Linked DNA regions of Lepisosteus oculatus. The protein of the gene in region 1 purifies or fractionates together with the protein of each later gene. This does not show direct contact. Links are inferred from orthologs where the notes say so. Each region holds a gene or a part of one and is shown on either strand. Other genes may lie near its edges.

Region 1 (8,281 bases):
AGCAGTGTAGAAATAATTACAACACTCTGTGGCTCCCAAGGATCACAGTTGTCTGTTCCTGATTTACCAGAAGTAAACCGATCGAGTTCTTCTCTTCCAAGTCTTTAGAAACCGATGATTGAAGGCAAACCTACAAGACCTACTGGATTCTCTCGCTCTCAAGGACCAGGGCTATCCCCATACAGGCATGTGGAACAGGACACTAAAATAGCTAACTACTGTAGGTATTTCCACAGCATTGCAAAACTGACCATGTTCACCGAAAAGTACTGTCTAGCTGCTACACTAAGGAAAGAATGCAGATGACCTGTCGCAACAGGCATGCCCACAGCCACACAAGCACTGAAGGCTAAAATCAGCAGTCACCGTGAGCTTAATCTCTGCAACTTTCTTCTAGACAGACCTACTCAGAGTCTCGTGTCCAAGCAGAGTGACCAATCCATTCTCTCCGATAATCCGACTCTTGTTGTACAAACAATCTAGGTCTAGGTTAAATGATTTTTTTCAAGGGACACCTCCCCAGTAGTCCAGCTGGGTGAGACCAAGCTAGTGAGGGTTACGAATCAAGCCCCAGGGTCACAAAACAAGCATGTCACAGAGCTGGAATTCAAGTCTTTTGTAACCCACTGTCCAGACGCCTACCTCCAAAAGTGCACACAATACTTAAGCCTGTGATAAAACAGCCAATATGCAAGGTGCTAGAATAGTTTGTAAGACATACAAAAACATTTCAACTAAAACTATAATAAGCATTCATACAGAAATAGATTTGATTTGTTGTATAAAACAGTTAAAGTTCTTTGGGCTGTGAATGTGGTTTCAGTGCTGATCTCACTTCCCTTTGAGTCATCAGTCAAGCAGTGCACAACTAGCACTTTTCTGCAACGCACATTAACCAACATCCTTCAAAGTGCTCTGTTAAGTTTCCCTCCCTGTGCAGTCCAGCCGGCAAGTTAATGTGCACTAGTTCAGAAAAAAACGAAACGCACGTTTCTACTGCCAAATCTCCAAGCTGAAAAAAAGAACCCACCCACTGCTCTTATCGCTAATGGGCAGAGATATCTGGACTGCTCGGTCTCTAAACGATTTATGCAATCAGCTCATTGTACCTGAGCTGATTTAAAAAGGAAACAAATGTTGTTCTTTTCAGGTTGAAATTTTATAAGCGTCCTCAGCTCGCTGGCAACCTGTTCTAAAATCTGTTCTTAAACAACAGTTGTAGAGTGCAACTACTTAATTATCTTTACACAAATTAATCACCACTGACCAAATTATTAAAACGGTGTAACACCACAATCAAAAGCCTAAGGCAATACATTTCTGTACGTGTTCAAACATTACTCACAGTATCTCCGCATTAAATATGCAGCAGTGCATGTTTTTATAGGGATCTCACCGTGGCGAATAAATACATCTAACTACACCTAATACATTTCATCTGAACTGCCACTTCCACAGGTATGCTTCAGAAGCAGTGCTCTGTAGTCTTCACACGCTGCAATGATGAAGAAAGCTAAAAAATACCTCCTGTGGCGCTGGTAAACTAATATTTGACAGAAAAGGGACACGCTGCTATGAGCTTTCTTTTTTGATGGACGGAGAATGGAGTGCACTGTGAAAAAAAAATACATAACCTCCAGTGTCCCAGAAAAAGGACAGGATGTCCATCTGACTGGTGCTTTATTTAGTCAGAACGAATTTACTTATTTATGAAAGGACTGTAAGTCTGTTTGCAATATGTTCCTCACTTACAATCTGCTGTGAACTTGGAACCCAAATACTTCATTTTATTTAAGCCGCTTTTCCGCAGTGAGTTTCATACATCAAGGAGTATCAATAAGACACCAAGACAGATGGACGGACTGAAGTCATTCTTAGTAAATCGGCAGGTTCTTAAAGTGATTTTTCTTAACGTTGTTCTTTACAATTGTTTTTCTTGGTTTGTCATTTCGCAAAGAAAGTAAATTCAGAAGCGCTTTGGGAACTAACGCGAAGAATGTGTTTGCATGTACAGACTTGAACAAACAGACGAACTGTGGCAACACACAGTACGGCAACATGGCTGCTGTATGGAGGAAATATCAATCTTTTAATCGCGGAACGCGTCACCTGTTTCACAAATGATCGGAATTTACAAATAAAGGGGCTAAAATGAGAGTTGTCCGAGCAGGGCTTTCTAATCCCGAAAACCTTCCAAGCGAAGCGCCGCGACAGATAGCCCTGCGTGATCTGACATCCTGTCGAGCTCTGTAAAACCGCAAGCAGGGGCTGTACCAGTGATAACTGTATAAGGACATTTCAAACTACAGAGGCAGAGTGCTGGTGCATTTTCAACACCGCTGTGCAACCGCTTCCAGTTTCTGTCGCCCTCGCAAACAATACTGCCCCAATTCATTGATAAAACGGCACAATCCGTAGCTTCGACTTAGAAACTTTTTTTTTGTTACCAGAACAATGCGATTCACCTACGGGGCACTTAAATATACCGTGATGGCACCGATGTACTGATGGTTCGTCATACATATGATAGGGGAGAGGAGAGAAACATCTAATGATTTCACCGGGGACATGCGAGCTCCGTTTCTTCCCCTTACGGACTAAATTCCAGCAATTATCCCCTGTGTTGGCCCTTGGTGGCAAGCGATGACTACATCCATACAAAATGCACAATGCCAACACAGTCTACCCACTACTGCAGAACGTGGCTCAACAAGGGATCTTAGCGTTGAATCTAAAACGTATATACCTTGTGAGCACCAGATTAAGCATCAGTCCCTTTGAAGAAAGCGGAATTGACAAGCTGACAGACTCACATTCCTTTGCCTACCCACCCAGTCAGCTAACCTCTTTACTTCCTGTTTCAGGCGATTCTATTTTCCATAGCCACAATCAGCCATAGAAGAATCGGGCAGAAGCACAAATCACCGAAAGTAAGAAATCTGTCATCAGACCTACCCCGGTTCCATTGTCACAAACCACCACTTTCCTTCCCTGACCGTCCATTTTTCAGAATCCAGGAACCTGCAGACCTCTCCTGCTCAACTTTCTTCAGCAAGCCGGAAATCACCACCCCGGCTCCCGGAAAGGGTTTCTTCCGGTAAGTCTGCCATGTGACCCGAGCTTCCACGTTAGAGCCCGCCCGTCTAAAAAATGGACGTGACGTTATCCAATCACAATGGAGAAAATTGCGGCAGCTGTGGCAGCTCATCCTGGTACCTGAACTGACGAGTTATTGACATGGCGTTGCAGCCAATCAGATCTTTAGGCTCTACGTTACAGTTGAAGATAAGTATTCTTTTCAATGAGCCAGCGAAGACCTTGTCGGTTCCGAGGGAAAAAAGGGTGTGTGTTGTTTTGTTTGATACAGGAAGAGAATGAAAATGTTAAAATGTTTATAAATGTACTTCTGGTATTGTCACATACAAATTACCATTTGCTATAGACATGAGGGATGATAATGCTACAAAACTAATACGACATTTTGTATTAGGCAATAAGAACAACAATAACAATAATAACCAATATACTGAATGGTGCTATAGTAAAACACTAATCTTAATACAATGTGTCGAAAATACAATGTTAACATAGTTTTAATGTTCTACGGTAATCTTATGAGATTTACTGACCGATTTCAATAGTATTTAACAAAAAATGCAAAACATGTAAAAGCTTGCAAAGGTAACACAAGAAAAAAACTCTCAGTGTGGGCTTTACTTCTAAATTGAAAATGAAACCAGGAAAACAAGTAGTAGTCGGACTAGAAAAAAATACTATTAATCCTCAATATGAACCTGTTGTTCCTGTCTTCTCAAAGTATACAACTATAAATACCACCCCTGGACTTCAGACAGGTGCTGAGTAGGTACAGTCTGTGAGGCCTTGTGCAAGATAAAACACTGTTGACTAGCAAAGTGACAAATGTCGTGACTGTGTATGAAGATGAATCACTTATCGGCCTGTATCTGTGTATGAAAATGAAGCAATTAAAGGAATACTGATTTTTCCACTCCATTGAAGGTTGTTTCTGTAAATTGCCTCATTTTGTAGAATAAGCCACTCCTTAGTCTCCTGGAGGTGTTTACTAAAATTGTCTGTTCAGCAGGTGACCCAAAATCAGTACCTGCTACATGAGTATCACCAGAGATCTCTGGAGGAATGGCTGCTGTAGGTACCTGGTCATTTTCACTGCCCGCTGTAGAGAAAATGAGGTATTTAATTGTACAAGGACAGCACTCCACTGATTGTGTGGAACAGGCTATGGCAGGTAAGTGACACTCAGGACTCAACACTACAACATCTTGCCTAACACTCGGCTCTACATTGAGGTGATATAAAGGAAATAAAACATCACACAAGCCTCCACACAATACACAGTACCAATGCATTTCACTTAAATCATTACAAAGATCGGTTTTAAACACGTGAGGAGACTTATCCAAATGTAACTGATCTTATTAAAAGGTCAGTTTTCTGCTGCTATGGGTGTCCATTGCAAAATGTGACCAATATAAACATTAGGGCTAGATTTGATCTATTCCTTTGTTTTACCAGCTATGTCAATTAAGATCAAATTCAAATTATTTTCACTGATGGCCTGGGGCTCCATGTATGAGTGGGAGGAATGTAGGCATGTAAAAAGAGTAAGTACCCGGTTGAAGAGTACAACAGCAGCATTTACCTGGGATTCGAGCACCCGATCCTTGTGGTCCAGAGAGACAACCACTGTTCCACTCTGTATTTCGAAGGATTGTAAAGATTTGTAGGCACACTCGGATAATGTCACATCAGCGGCTCGTTTTATCTTTGGGACAGCCATGGGAATTTGTGCCTGTTTGCAGATTGCATGGCAATCTATGGTTTTCTGCAGTTGTAGTTTTTATTTTTCTAGAATAGATACTTAAAATAGTTTATTGAGTATTAATGACCAAAAAAAAACTAAATGAGATTAAGATCATATTAATCAGAACTAATAGGGATAATCACATCAGGGTTACCTGAATGATAACTAATAAGAAGTCCTTACACTTATATAGTATATTATATACGCTCATCACATACCAGCTATCAGTGGGGAGGAGAACAGAGTGGTAAAGCCAGTTCATAGATGGGTATTTTTTAGTGACCACAGAAAATCAGGGCCTCGGTTTTACATCTCATTCTAAGGATGGCACCTATTGAACAGTATAGTGTTCCCGTCACCATACTGGGGCATTAGGACCCACTCAGACCGCAGGGTGAGCGCCCCCTACTGGCTCCACTGACCCCACTTCCAGCGGCGACCTCAGTTGTCCCAGATAGGTCTCCCATCCAGGTGCTGGACAGGCCGGGTACTGGCTTCAGTGTGTTGTCAGTTGTGAGCTGCACAATGATATAGCTGCTGAAGAGCTCTGCTCACTGGAGCTCTGCGTGTTTCTAGATATTGAGAATGACAGGGAGACGGGCCGGTTCGTCGTGGGCAGAGGGGGCTACCCCAACAGCGAGGGGCTGGTTGAGTGTGACGCTGCGCTCATGGAGGGGATCGCGGGCCGCTTTGGTGCAGTGGCAGCCCTTCAGGGGTAAGACAAGTATACACCCTTTACATCGAATTGTTCCTTTTTACTTGCTCTCCTTTTTGGCAACCTTGATACTTTAATCCACAAAGCCAAGAGCGGTGACTCCTAGCCAGCTTCACTGCTACATTTGAAGTGCTGAAACCTTGCAGCCGATGAGTGCGACTGTTCTGGTGAGAGGCTGATTAAGTATCCTGTGCACCGCCTGTCTTTTTCCTTTTGTGCTTTTATTTTCGGCATGTCATGGAATCTGTCTCTTTGCCTCTGTGCTAGACGACAAATAAGTGTTTTCAGAGAGAAAATTGCAAGGTGTCAGCCATAGTCACTGGCTTTAACAGGACACGCTTTAAATAATGAAGTACTGTGTCCCCCAGCTTCCAAGCAGGAGGCTGATCAGGAGACTGATGCATTTCTAAACACCGGCCCAATGGCGCCCTCTAGTGTCGATCCACGTCGCTACAGTCTTTTCTCTACTGCTGTGGAGACTTTAGCCAGGTGGCAGTAAAAGTCCATTTATGTGAGCTCAATAAGACAAAATATTTGATTATTTTTAAAAGCGCTCCCTCAGCTGTTCAGTTTTAGCGTTTTAAAGTGTTGTATGTCTGAAGAACATGTCACAAATGTTTCTCTACTGTACTGTGTTCCTCCCGGTTAGCATCCCGTTCCTTCGCAATCCGGTGGATTGTTGTGCCCCCTATGTCTGTGCCCCTGACGCGTGTGTGTGGTGTGTGTGTGACAGTGTGGGGACTCCAGTCAGAGTGGCCCGCAGAGTCATGGAGCAGAGCTGTCACAGCCTGTTGGTCGGGGAAGGAGCCCTGGCGTTTGCCCTGGAGCAGGGTTTCACCGTGGAGGACAATGAGAGCATGCTGGCTCCAGAGACAGCCAGGGCCTATCAGGTAACATTCACCTCCAGCTGCTGAATTATAGATCATCAGGGGCAGCCTATGTGGGTCTCTTGTTATTCAAAACTGCACGGTAATATCCATTCGATATGTATTCATATTTACATATTAATACCTGTACACGGGCATTATTAATGTTCACACACTGCATTCCAGCACAAGTGATCCTGTTTACTAATGTATTAATCCTGACATCTGTCAAACCAGAATGTACAACATTTTGTGTTTTACTCTGTCTTGTAAAATGAAGTGATTTCTGTGTTTTGAGACTAAGAGAAAGAGGCAATTTGGGCAAACTGTCCAGATGTTTATTGAATAAATACAATTACAGTATGTACCAAAAGTTCATAGTGTAGTCACACTATGTTTAATGCACTGACAAATAAAAACCCCAAAGAAGAGGCAGGTATACAAAGAAAAAGAGAAATCATGTTTTTGTACTTTGTGAACTAACAAAATAACACTTTTTAAAACAAAACATTCATCTGTGTTATTTAATTTTTGAGACATCTATATTTGTAAACTAGAAACCAATGTAATTGTAGAGCACAGGAAAATGTTTTATTACAATTTATAATAAAATATTTATATGTATAAGTATAGAATTAATATTGTTTTATTTTGAACAATGTTTTATCTTTCTGATTTCAAGGATTTTTGTTCACAAAGACCACTCATGTCAAGAGTGGCTCAAGTAGCAGTACTGAAATACTGCAGTCTGACGTGAGAAAATACAGAAAATGTCAGCTGGAAACATTAAGAAAGCCATTGAAATCAATTTTGAGAGCATGGAGAGATCTAAGATCTCAAAGTGTCTGGCAATGAGTGCTTTGCAATGGCTTCTGTAGCTCTTCAAACCCAAACACTCTCTGGTCTTTTCTGGTGGAATAGAAGGACGACAATGGATATGTTATGTCCAGATAGTTTTGTCTAAAAGTATAAAAGTTTTCATAAAAACATTTGGTGGGCAATACTGGATCTTGACTAAGCAGAAATAAAGGAGAATTTGCAAAAAAAGGGTGTGAAATTCCACAGACAGCTACTTACAGTAGTTCCTCTTAAAGGAAAGGGTCTAGAATTGTCTGGTCTTGGAGTAATTCATCTCATTCTCGCCAGCCTGGAGAATACTTTCGAGATTTTCAGTACCTCTGATTAAAAGCTGTACAGTAATTAAGAACTCCTAATGAAATTACACGGTCAGGTGACAGGATTCTACAAGAAGTAATTGCTTTTGTATTTGCTTCAGATTAATTAGGAAAGCATCAGTTTCCTTCAGTCTTAATGCCTGGTTTGAAACAGTTGGTTTTAAAAGTAAGCTACCAGTGTAATCCATATACTGTAGGTAGGACAATTCCAACTATTGTTATAAATTACACAAATATGCTGAAGTTATATATTTTTAAATATTTTAACAAAATTATGTTTATCCTTTCTATTATATCTAAGGATTTTTTAGAAAAGAAGAAAAGTTTGTCTGGACACGACACATTGGGTAAGGATTCAACATGAACCAATAAAAAGTCCTGGTCTTCCAATGAACAGAAAATGCACAACTTGAACCAGAAGATGGACTATAGTTTCCAAAGCTTCTCCATCCAAGATCAAACTCAGATCCTCGATGGACTAGTATCGTCCCGGTTTCTGGTACTTGATGTAATAATTTAACTGCATCGATGTAATACTTCTAACCTGGCTATAAGGTATTGTGTACAGTTGTATGCAAAAGTAGGCACCCCTGGTCAAATTGCATGTTTCACTGTTTTATTTTTTTTTTCAGTCTGTTAAATTCAGGAAATAAATAGCAACTGTACGTTAAACTGTGCAGAA
Region 2 (7,766 bases), on another chromosome or scaffold:
TTCTGGAATTCATTATGAAGGTCTACCGAACATACATGGGTGAGAAAACCAAACCAAACTGGACGTATTACTTGTATAATATACAGGACTATAAAACATACAGGACTATAAAAAATAAGAATTAGAACTTTAATAGAGGATCATCTCTATGATAGTATGATTCACAAAGTTAGCTAAAATAGATTTAGAAAAACTAGATCTTGTTAAACTAACATGTTAGGAGTAACTTGAACAAGTTACAGCAGTAATGGGCACAAGATGAGCATTCAATGGGCAGCAAGAAAGCTTTTGGTAAAAGGTATCTTTTTTGAGGAACTTACATGCATGTATTTGGATATGGTAATTAAGGAATATAAAACAGTACACTTAAATTAGGGGTGATGTAATTAAAGGAGAAACACACGGATATGTGCTAGGACCACTGACATTCCTAATGTATAATAACATAGAAATTCTTGTATAGTTAGTAAACTGGTTACATTTGAATATTATAACAAAATAGAAGGATTAACAAACAGTGTAGAATCTGGAAATGAAACATGGAAATTCCTAAACTTTCAGACTGGGCATACGCCTGGCAGACTGCATTTAATGTAAGTGTTGAGTTTTACAAGCAAGTTCTGTAGGAGAATCAAAATACAGATAAAAGAAGATGCTACAGTATTTTGGGAAAAGACTAAAGCGTCTATGAGGACAATTTCATCTTCTGATCCAGGGCTTTTCAGCCATGGGCCTGGAGACCTACTCACTGGCTGAGCTGTCAGTTACAGAAATGAGCTGTTAATTGACCAATAATAAGAATAATTTCAGTTCTTGAGTTATTTTCCTAAACCAGTTTGAGGCTGTTTTAACTATTGTCTTGCATAATTAAATTAAGATTGCATTATTTTCTACTCACTAACAAGTAAGAAAAATTTCCAATCAAGTGACTTGTTAGGACATTTAAAGACAGCGCTCAGCTGGTACAAAATCAGCATTAATGTGGGTCTCCAGGACCAAGGTTGAGATCTCCTGTTCTAGACAATGTAGGGAGGCAATACAAACCAAACTTTGGTATATAGATTTGGTATATTTGGTATACTTAAATCTAGTGTTGTGTTGAAAATGTACAATGCATAAGTAAGACTTAATTCAGAGAGAAGTAAGAACAGATACTTCCGAACCTAAAAGTTTTTTGCCATATTTCTTACGCTCAATGATTTAGGGTGTGGAGAAAAGAGGGATCTAAGGTCTGTAATATAGGGTATTTACAACATAGAAACTTGGTTCAGTTGTTTATCTTGAAAACACTTGTAAAACCTCAATTAAAAAATTGGAACTAAAAGCCCATCCAATTCTGAGAAGCTACAAGAAATTAATCTTTTTAGTCTTGAACTGGATCTGATTCAAATATTCAAAAACCCCACTGACAAAGTCAACCTACTTGATTTCTTTATATTTGACAGGGAAATAAACATTCAACACCGTAGTTTTATTAAGAATATGAAGAAGTCCAGACCTAGGTTAAATGAAATTTATAAAATATGTAACCTTTCTTCAAGTTCACATGAATGGTTCTGTACAACTGTGAGATCCATTCTGCCCAACTAGTTTGTTTGGCTGTAGATAGGTAACTGATCCAATGATCTCATCCAGCCATTTTTTGAAAGAAACCACTGTGTCAGCTTCCACAATATGGCTGTTAATATAACTTGCTCTAGACTCCCGTGAGGCTTCATGCAAAAAAAGCCTCCTGCGTATAATACACAACATTCTCTGAGGACTCAGGACTCTTCTGTGCTCTGTGTGTACATAACAGCACTCTTAAAACTACTTAGTTCATTACAAAATTTTGCTTTATACTTGCCAAAAATAATACTTGATCAAATAAGGAAAACCATTTCTTACACTTAATAAATTGGAGAATATCTTTCACTCACATAATTACTGGTGTGCACAAAGAATGAAAGATTATGGGTACGTACTTGGTACTCATCCACAACAGAAAAGGTGTATTCATGCCTTGCGATGATGTGATGACAATTTTTACACACATCTGTTAAAACAAGAGTGAGAAAAAAGCAAGAGATTATGGAGGAGAAAGGAGGGCTTTTGCCCCTGCAAAAATCTTTGGATCTTTTAGGATGAAAGCAAAATGTAAAAACAAAAAATCAATTTTATCATAAGTTTCAGCACAATTTCATCCCATCCCAGCAGGGAGATTCACCGTTGCTTAAAATTACACAAGGGTAACTGTATGTGGGGTTTAACTGGGGATAAATCTGAAGATCGTTCTTCCCCCCCAACACAAACTGCCTGCCACTGAGACAGTTCCTCTGTCTAAATGGACATTCCTCTTTGGGGCAATTTGTACATCAAAGACATAAACTCACGGTCATAGGTGACAATTTCTTCTCCATCGTCATCTTCTGTGACTCTGTTGTCGATCATCACAAAGTCCCGCTGGTTGCATTTTGCACAGCCCACATAATTCAACAAATAGGACCCATTTTCTAAACATGTGCTACCCTGGAAATGAAAGGGAGGTAGGGTGAGCAAATATGAATCCTTTGAGATATCTCAAAAGGTAACTAATTTTAAGATAGTCAATAGTGTAATACTCCGGAGTTTTGCTCGAATTTGACAACAAACCAAAGAATTATGATGTAGGTAAAGAACATGATGCTGTGTAAAGATTAAGTTAAACCTATTAATCCCACCTCATCTGTTCTTCCGGTACTTTTATCTTAAATTATTTATATTACAGGAGCACAGTAATCTTTAATTTCTGAGGTGTGCTGCAATTTTTGCGAATGACAACATGCTTTATCAGTATAAATCAACGTCTAGAAGCAATGCTTACGGTAATATGTGAGTAGCAGTGTTTTTTTTTTCGAAATAAATCGTTTTCATTTTATTGCACTACAAAATCTTTTGTGCTACTTCAACTATCAAACCACAATAGATTTATATTTAAGTGAGCTCCTTTGCGCGTATAGTACGTTAATCGCAACCATTTAAAATACTTTAGGAAAAGTAAACAAATACATGAACGAGTTTTATAGTTTCCGAATTCAATGTATTTTAAAATATGAGCCTTAATGAATATTGCTGAATAAAAGACGTGAACATTCAAATCCGTGTGAACAAAACCAATACACATGCACTAAAACATTTCTTTAAAATGTACACTAGCCAAAACATGGTTTTAGCCACGGACGAACTTTAAAAATCTATTTATCTTACCCTGTCAGGGTATTCCTTCTGTACACAACCTCCACACATACTTTGTCGACTAGATATTGCTAACAACTTAAACTTCAACTTGTTCTTCCTAACTGGGAAGTTCACTTATACACGAACTGCACCCACTTCCGCTCTGTCGCGGAGCAATGACGTTTTCATTCTTTACTGGATGCAAAAAAGGTTTTAAACGAATCAACCTTCTAATAAAATTTAATTTAACATTTTTTTAAACAGAAAAAATTCTGATATTTTCCTTGTTTTGAGTCTTGCTTATAAGCATATTTCTTCAGCTAATAGTCACTATTGTTCGTACTGTTTATAATTCTATTTTTAATAATACGAATACAGTAGGCTATATACCAAAAACATAGTGTTTCACTTTTGTACCAAGTTTTAAACCTAAACATCTTTGGATTGAATTGCATTGGTTTTAGATAGAGTTTCAGTATATAGTGTTTCTTGAGCACTGCCACTTCGTTTTCAGTTCCTTTCGCTTCAGATGGACAACCAGCTATTTTGTAAAACAGTGGCAGTACAAGACAGTGCTGAAAACAAATAGATGCAGGAGCAGGACACCAGACTGTGCCTCGGGCCCTGTTCTGCTATGCAGTCAATCCTGCAGCAGCTGCCCCTGTGAAAACTGATCCATGCATGCTTGAAGTTTGTAGTAACTCAGATGATGTCATTCCAGTCATTCTACACATGTCCTAGAGCGATCTCCCAACGTTCCTGGGCCCTCAATCACATGCCGTTTGCAGAAAGGTTTAGTTACCAAATGATATCAGCGTAACCCGCCAGATTCTATTGGCCCCAAATTGCTATGTTCCACCTCAAAAGTGAGGCACCTCATGAGACATCAGGTCATCTTCTTGCCAGTCTGGAAAATAACCAATTGTTGTACTTATAGCCTGGATCCATATTGGGTCAGAGGCAGTGCACATCCTTTGCAAGCTTCCTTGTAAAATTCTGACCACCCAAGTCAAAAGCCTGAAAAAACTGCATTGGACTTTACTTATACTTAACCACAGAGTTCACTGAAAATGCTGCTACAGCAGTCATGGTGCTGATGTAATTTTGTGAAATACAGAGCAGCTCTTTCCAGTGCATAGGGCAGGGTTGTGTTCTTCATTTCAGGGAAAATGGAATCCATTTATTGGAATAGAAAAGAGGGATTGGTATTTTTGATTTTTTTTTCTACAGCTCCATTTTCAGCCTAATAAAAAGTATTTAGTCCAATTTTTTATACACCAAATGCAGAGCAGTACTTATGATTCTTCCAATTTCCTTTTGTTGGTAGCTGCATAATTTACCTGAGGTCTAAAAGCAATCTGTGAAATCTATTTTCTATCCGTTTCTTCCAAATCAGGGGAGCAGGGGAGCCTGAGCTGATCCCAGCAAGCAAGGGGTGCAAGGCAGGGTGCACCCCAGATGGGGTTCCAGTCCATCGGCAGACAGACAAAAACACATAGATAAACATGCACCCACTCACACCTAGGGGCAATTTTCCAGAAGCCAATTAATCTACTAGCCAGCAGCTATATCACCCTGCAACTACCAACTGGCAGCCCACTGAAGCTAAGTAGGGATGAGCCTGGCCAATACTTGGGATGTGAGACTTCTGAGGAAACCTAAGGGATAGGTGTTAGTGGGACAAACAGACTGCAGGGTGCTACCTATGTGCTCAAATATAGCAGTGTCCTTCGGATGAAACATAAAACCAAGGTCCTGAATGCGGTCATTAAAAATGCTAGGGTATTTCTTGAAAGAAGTTGAGGTCTTATCCCCAATGTCCTGACCAAATTTCCCACTGGCCTTTACCAATAAAATTTTTTAAGACAGGGAGAGAGAAGCTTGGAGTCTGAGCACAGGGTCAGCTATTTATATGGCACCCGTGGAGCAGCTGGGGTTAACGGCCTTGCTCAGGGGCCCAACGGAATAGGATTCCTCTGCCAGCCGTGGGATTTGAACCGGCAACCTTTCAGCCACAGTGCTACCACTCTGCCCCTAATCCCCAACTATGAATTAGATGAATCACTCTGCTCTCTGATAGCTGATGTGTGGTGAGTGTACAGGTGCACTTTGGCTGCCATTGCATCCAAGTGGGCCTAGTCATTGGTGGTGGAGGAGGGGAGTCTCCAATACCCCATTACCTGTAAAACTTTCTGAGTGGAGCACCCAGAAAAGTGCTATAGAAGCATAAAGCAATTATTATTACCAGTATTTTTTTTGGACAGTGGAAGGCAACCTGAGCACTTGGGAGGATACCCACACTAACATGGGGGAGAACATACCACCTCAACACAGATAGCAGGTCCGGAATTGATCCCAGGACCCTATTACTGCGCGGCAGCAATGCTATTCACTGTACCACCATTCCATGCCCGATCTGTGACATGTTAACTTTAATTTTTGTTCAGTTTTAAGGCTTTCAGCAATTTTAATGAAAAATTGCACTTGTGTTGGGGGCAGCACAGTGGCAGAGTGGTTAGCAATGCTGCCTCGCAGCACTGGGGCCCTGGGTTCAATTCCAAACATGCTAGCTGTGTGGAGTTTGTATGTTCACTTGAGTTTGGTCCGGGTGCTCTGGTTTCTTCCCACAGTCCAAAGACATACTAGTAGGTCTGGGAAAATTGGTCCTGGTGCGAGTATGTGTGTGTCTGTGTGTGCCCTGTAATGGACTGGTGTCCCATCCAAGGTATATCCTGCTTTGCATCTGTTACTCGCTAAGACAGGCTGCGGCTCCTACGTGACCCTGAACTGGATAAAGTGATTAGGAAATGAATGGATGCAAGTGAGTAGCATGTCGCTTTTCACTTTTTAGTCAGCTAACAGATGGGAGATTGAAGAATAAACTGATTTCAAACCATCATATGTGACTTGGTAACAGCCGGTCGTGGCCAAGTATGTATCAGGTCTGAATCTATTCATTATTATTGTTGTAATGGAGTACCTCAAAGACAAAGAGCAAAAGGATTAACCCAAAGTTGACTGAAGAGCTGATAAATGAAATACCCATTTACAACGGGCATTACAGCAAAACTGGTGTTTACACAGAGAAGAGCTTCTCGCACAAAATATTTTAAACGTATACACTGTTATTGTTAACATGAAAACGTTAGGTGTTTTTACAAAAATCCTGAATAGCAATTTTCAATGCAAGAGAGGTCTTTAAGACCACCAGTGGCAGAAGGACACAAGTAAGAATTATGAGGAGTTTTCAGGACACAAAATAAGATGCCGTCTGGAAAAAAAAACACTTGTCCCACTTCAAGAAATAGCTTGATAGGACTCTTGGATCAGTAAGATGATGGTCACCAAACAAGACAGTTTAGACTCCACTGGTGAATGTTTTAAAGACCTTTTTGACAAATCTGTCAGGCTGTTTAATAACCACAAGAATCCTGAAACTTATCATTCCTCATTTAAAAGACAAATACATACTGCTATTGGATTAGAGGCATTTCAACTACAGAGCCTAAGTACAACCACAGCAGAGAACATAATGCAGATATTTTATACATTATAAAACACATGCACACAGGATTTTTAAATAAAGCAAATATATTGTGGAAAAAATATATACGTTCATAAATAATTTCCAAAAATTAAAAAATATTAAATGCAAATACAAAAATGCTTGTGATACGAATTTTAAAAAGCAGAACAGAATACAAAAAATACAAAATCCACTCCAACACATAAATAATCTTTGTTATTTTGAACTTGTAAACATTCTTGCACACATATATATTTATAAAAATAAAACTATCTGTACATCCTTCTTTAAAAGAGATCAGCCTTCATTTGAATTATTAATTTTAGGTTCCAAGAGTAACCCAGTTATGTCAACATTAATGTGTTGTAGCATGCAGCCTTCAAATGAATCAACAATAGGGGATTTTTTTTTGGACTGTTTGATCTCCATATTTTATCATTGACCCATGTTATTCTATCACATCCCTATTATGCTTTCAGCCACTGTAGATTAGGTCAATCTAGAGGGTATTCTAACATCAGAATTCACAGAGTGGCAATGGGCAATTATAAACTGCTCTTTCAATCAAAGGGGGAGAGCCCAGTGTTCTTGTCTTTGCAGGCCATAAGCAAATATCTTTTTATGAGCTTTTCCACAGTCAGGAGGTGTTCATACTTCATATAGTACAGTACTTGTTTTCACCTCAGGTTTGATGCTATATTGGTAACACAGTGAGACAGTTTGCTATTGTTTTAATACACACACCTTAAAATAAAAGATTAAATTTACAAATTAAGGCTTTACTATAGAAGATGAGGTGAGTACAGGTACAGCTGTAACAATGAACCCAGAGACACATTTTCACAACATTAGCACATATCAGATTGAAATCTATAGTGTGTTTTGAAGCTACAATATTAACCCTGTAGCTGGCACTGTAAAGTACATAATGTATAGCCTATTTGTTCCTCTGAGGTACAAGCTTAATCTGGTCTATCCTACACAAATTTCTAAATTTCAGAGTCTAACCCTGCAATATTAAATGCAGAGGGATGCAGTCTTTTGA

What was found.
Region 2: the proteins of actin-related protein 2-B (region 1) and churc1 purify together in Homo sapiens (affinity purification with mass spectrometry; 4 studies listed by BioGRID and IntAct, with this or other methods). This does not show direct contact. The link is inferred for Lepisosteus oculatus from reciprocal best matches to the Homo sapiens genes ACTR2 and CHURC1.

The regions. Positions count from the first base shown.
Region 1 is NC_090712.1:9,089,736-9,098,016, forward strand, and holds the start of actin-related protein 2-B, read right to left. Parts: upstream 3,094-8,281; 5' UTR 3,004-3,093; coding exon 2,956-3,003; intron 1-2,955. Other genes in the region: N(4)-(Beta-N-acetylglucosaminyl)-L-asparaginase, read left to right, coding at 4,159-4,267, 5,420-5,558, 6,292-6,448, 7,901-7,946. UniProt on the Homo sapiens protein: ATP-binding component of the Arp2/3 complex, a multiprotein complex that mediates actin polymerization upon stimulation by nucleation-promoting factor (NPF).
Region 2 is NC_090703.1:20,995,062-21,002,827, forward strand, and holds the start of churc1 (protein Churchill), read right to left. Parts: upstream 3,352-7,766; 5' UTR 3,265-3,351; coding exon 3,226-3,264; intron 2,509-3,225; coding exon 2,373-2,508; intron 2,036-2,372; coding exon 1,965-2,035; intron 1-1,964. UniProt on the Homo sapiens protein: Transcriptional activator that mediates FGF signaling during neural development. Plays a role in the regulation of cell movement.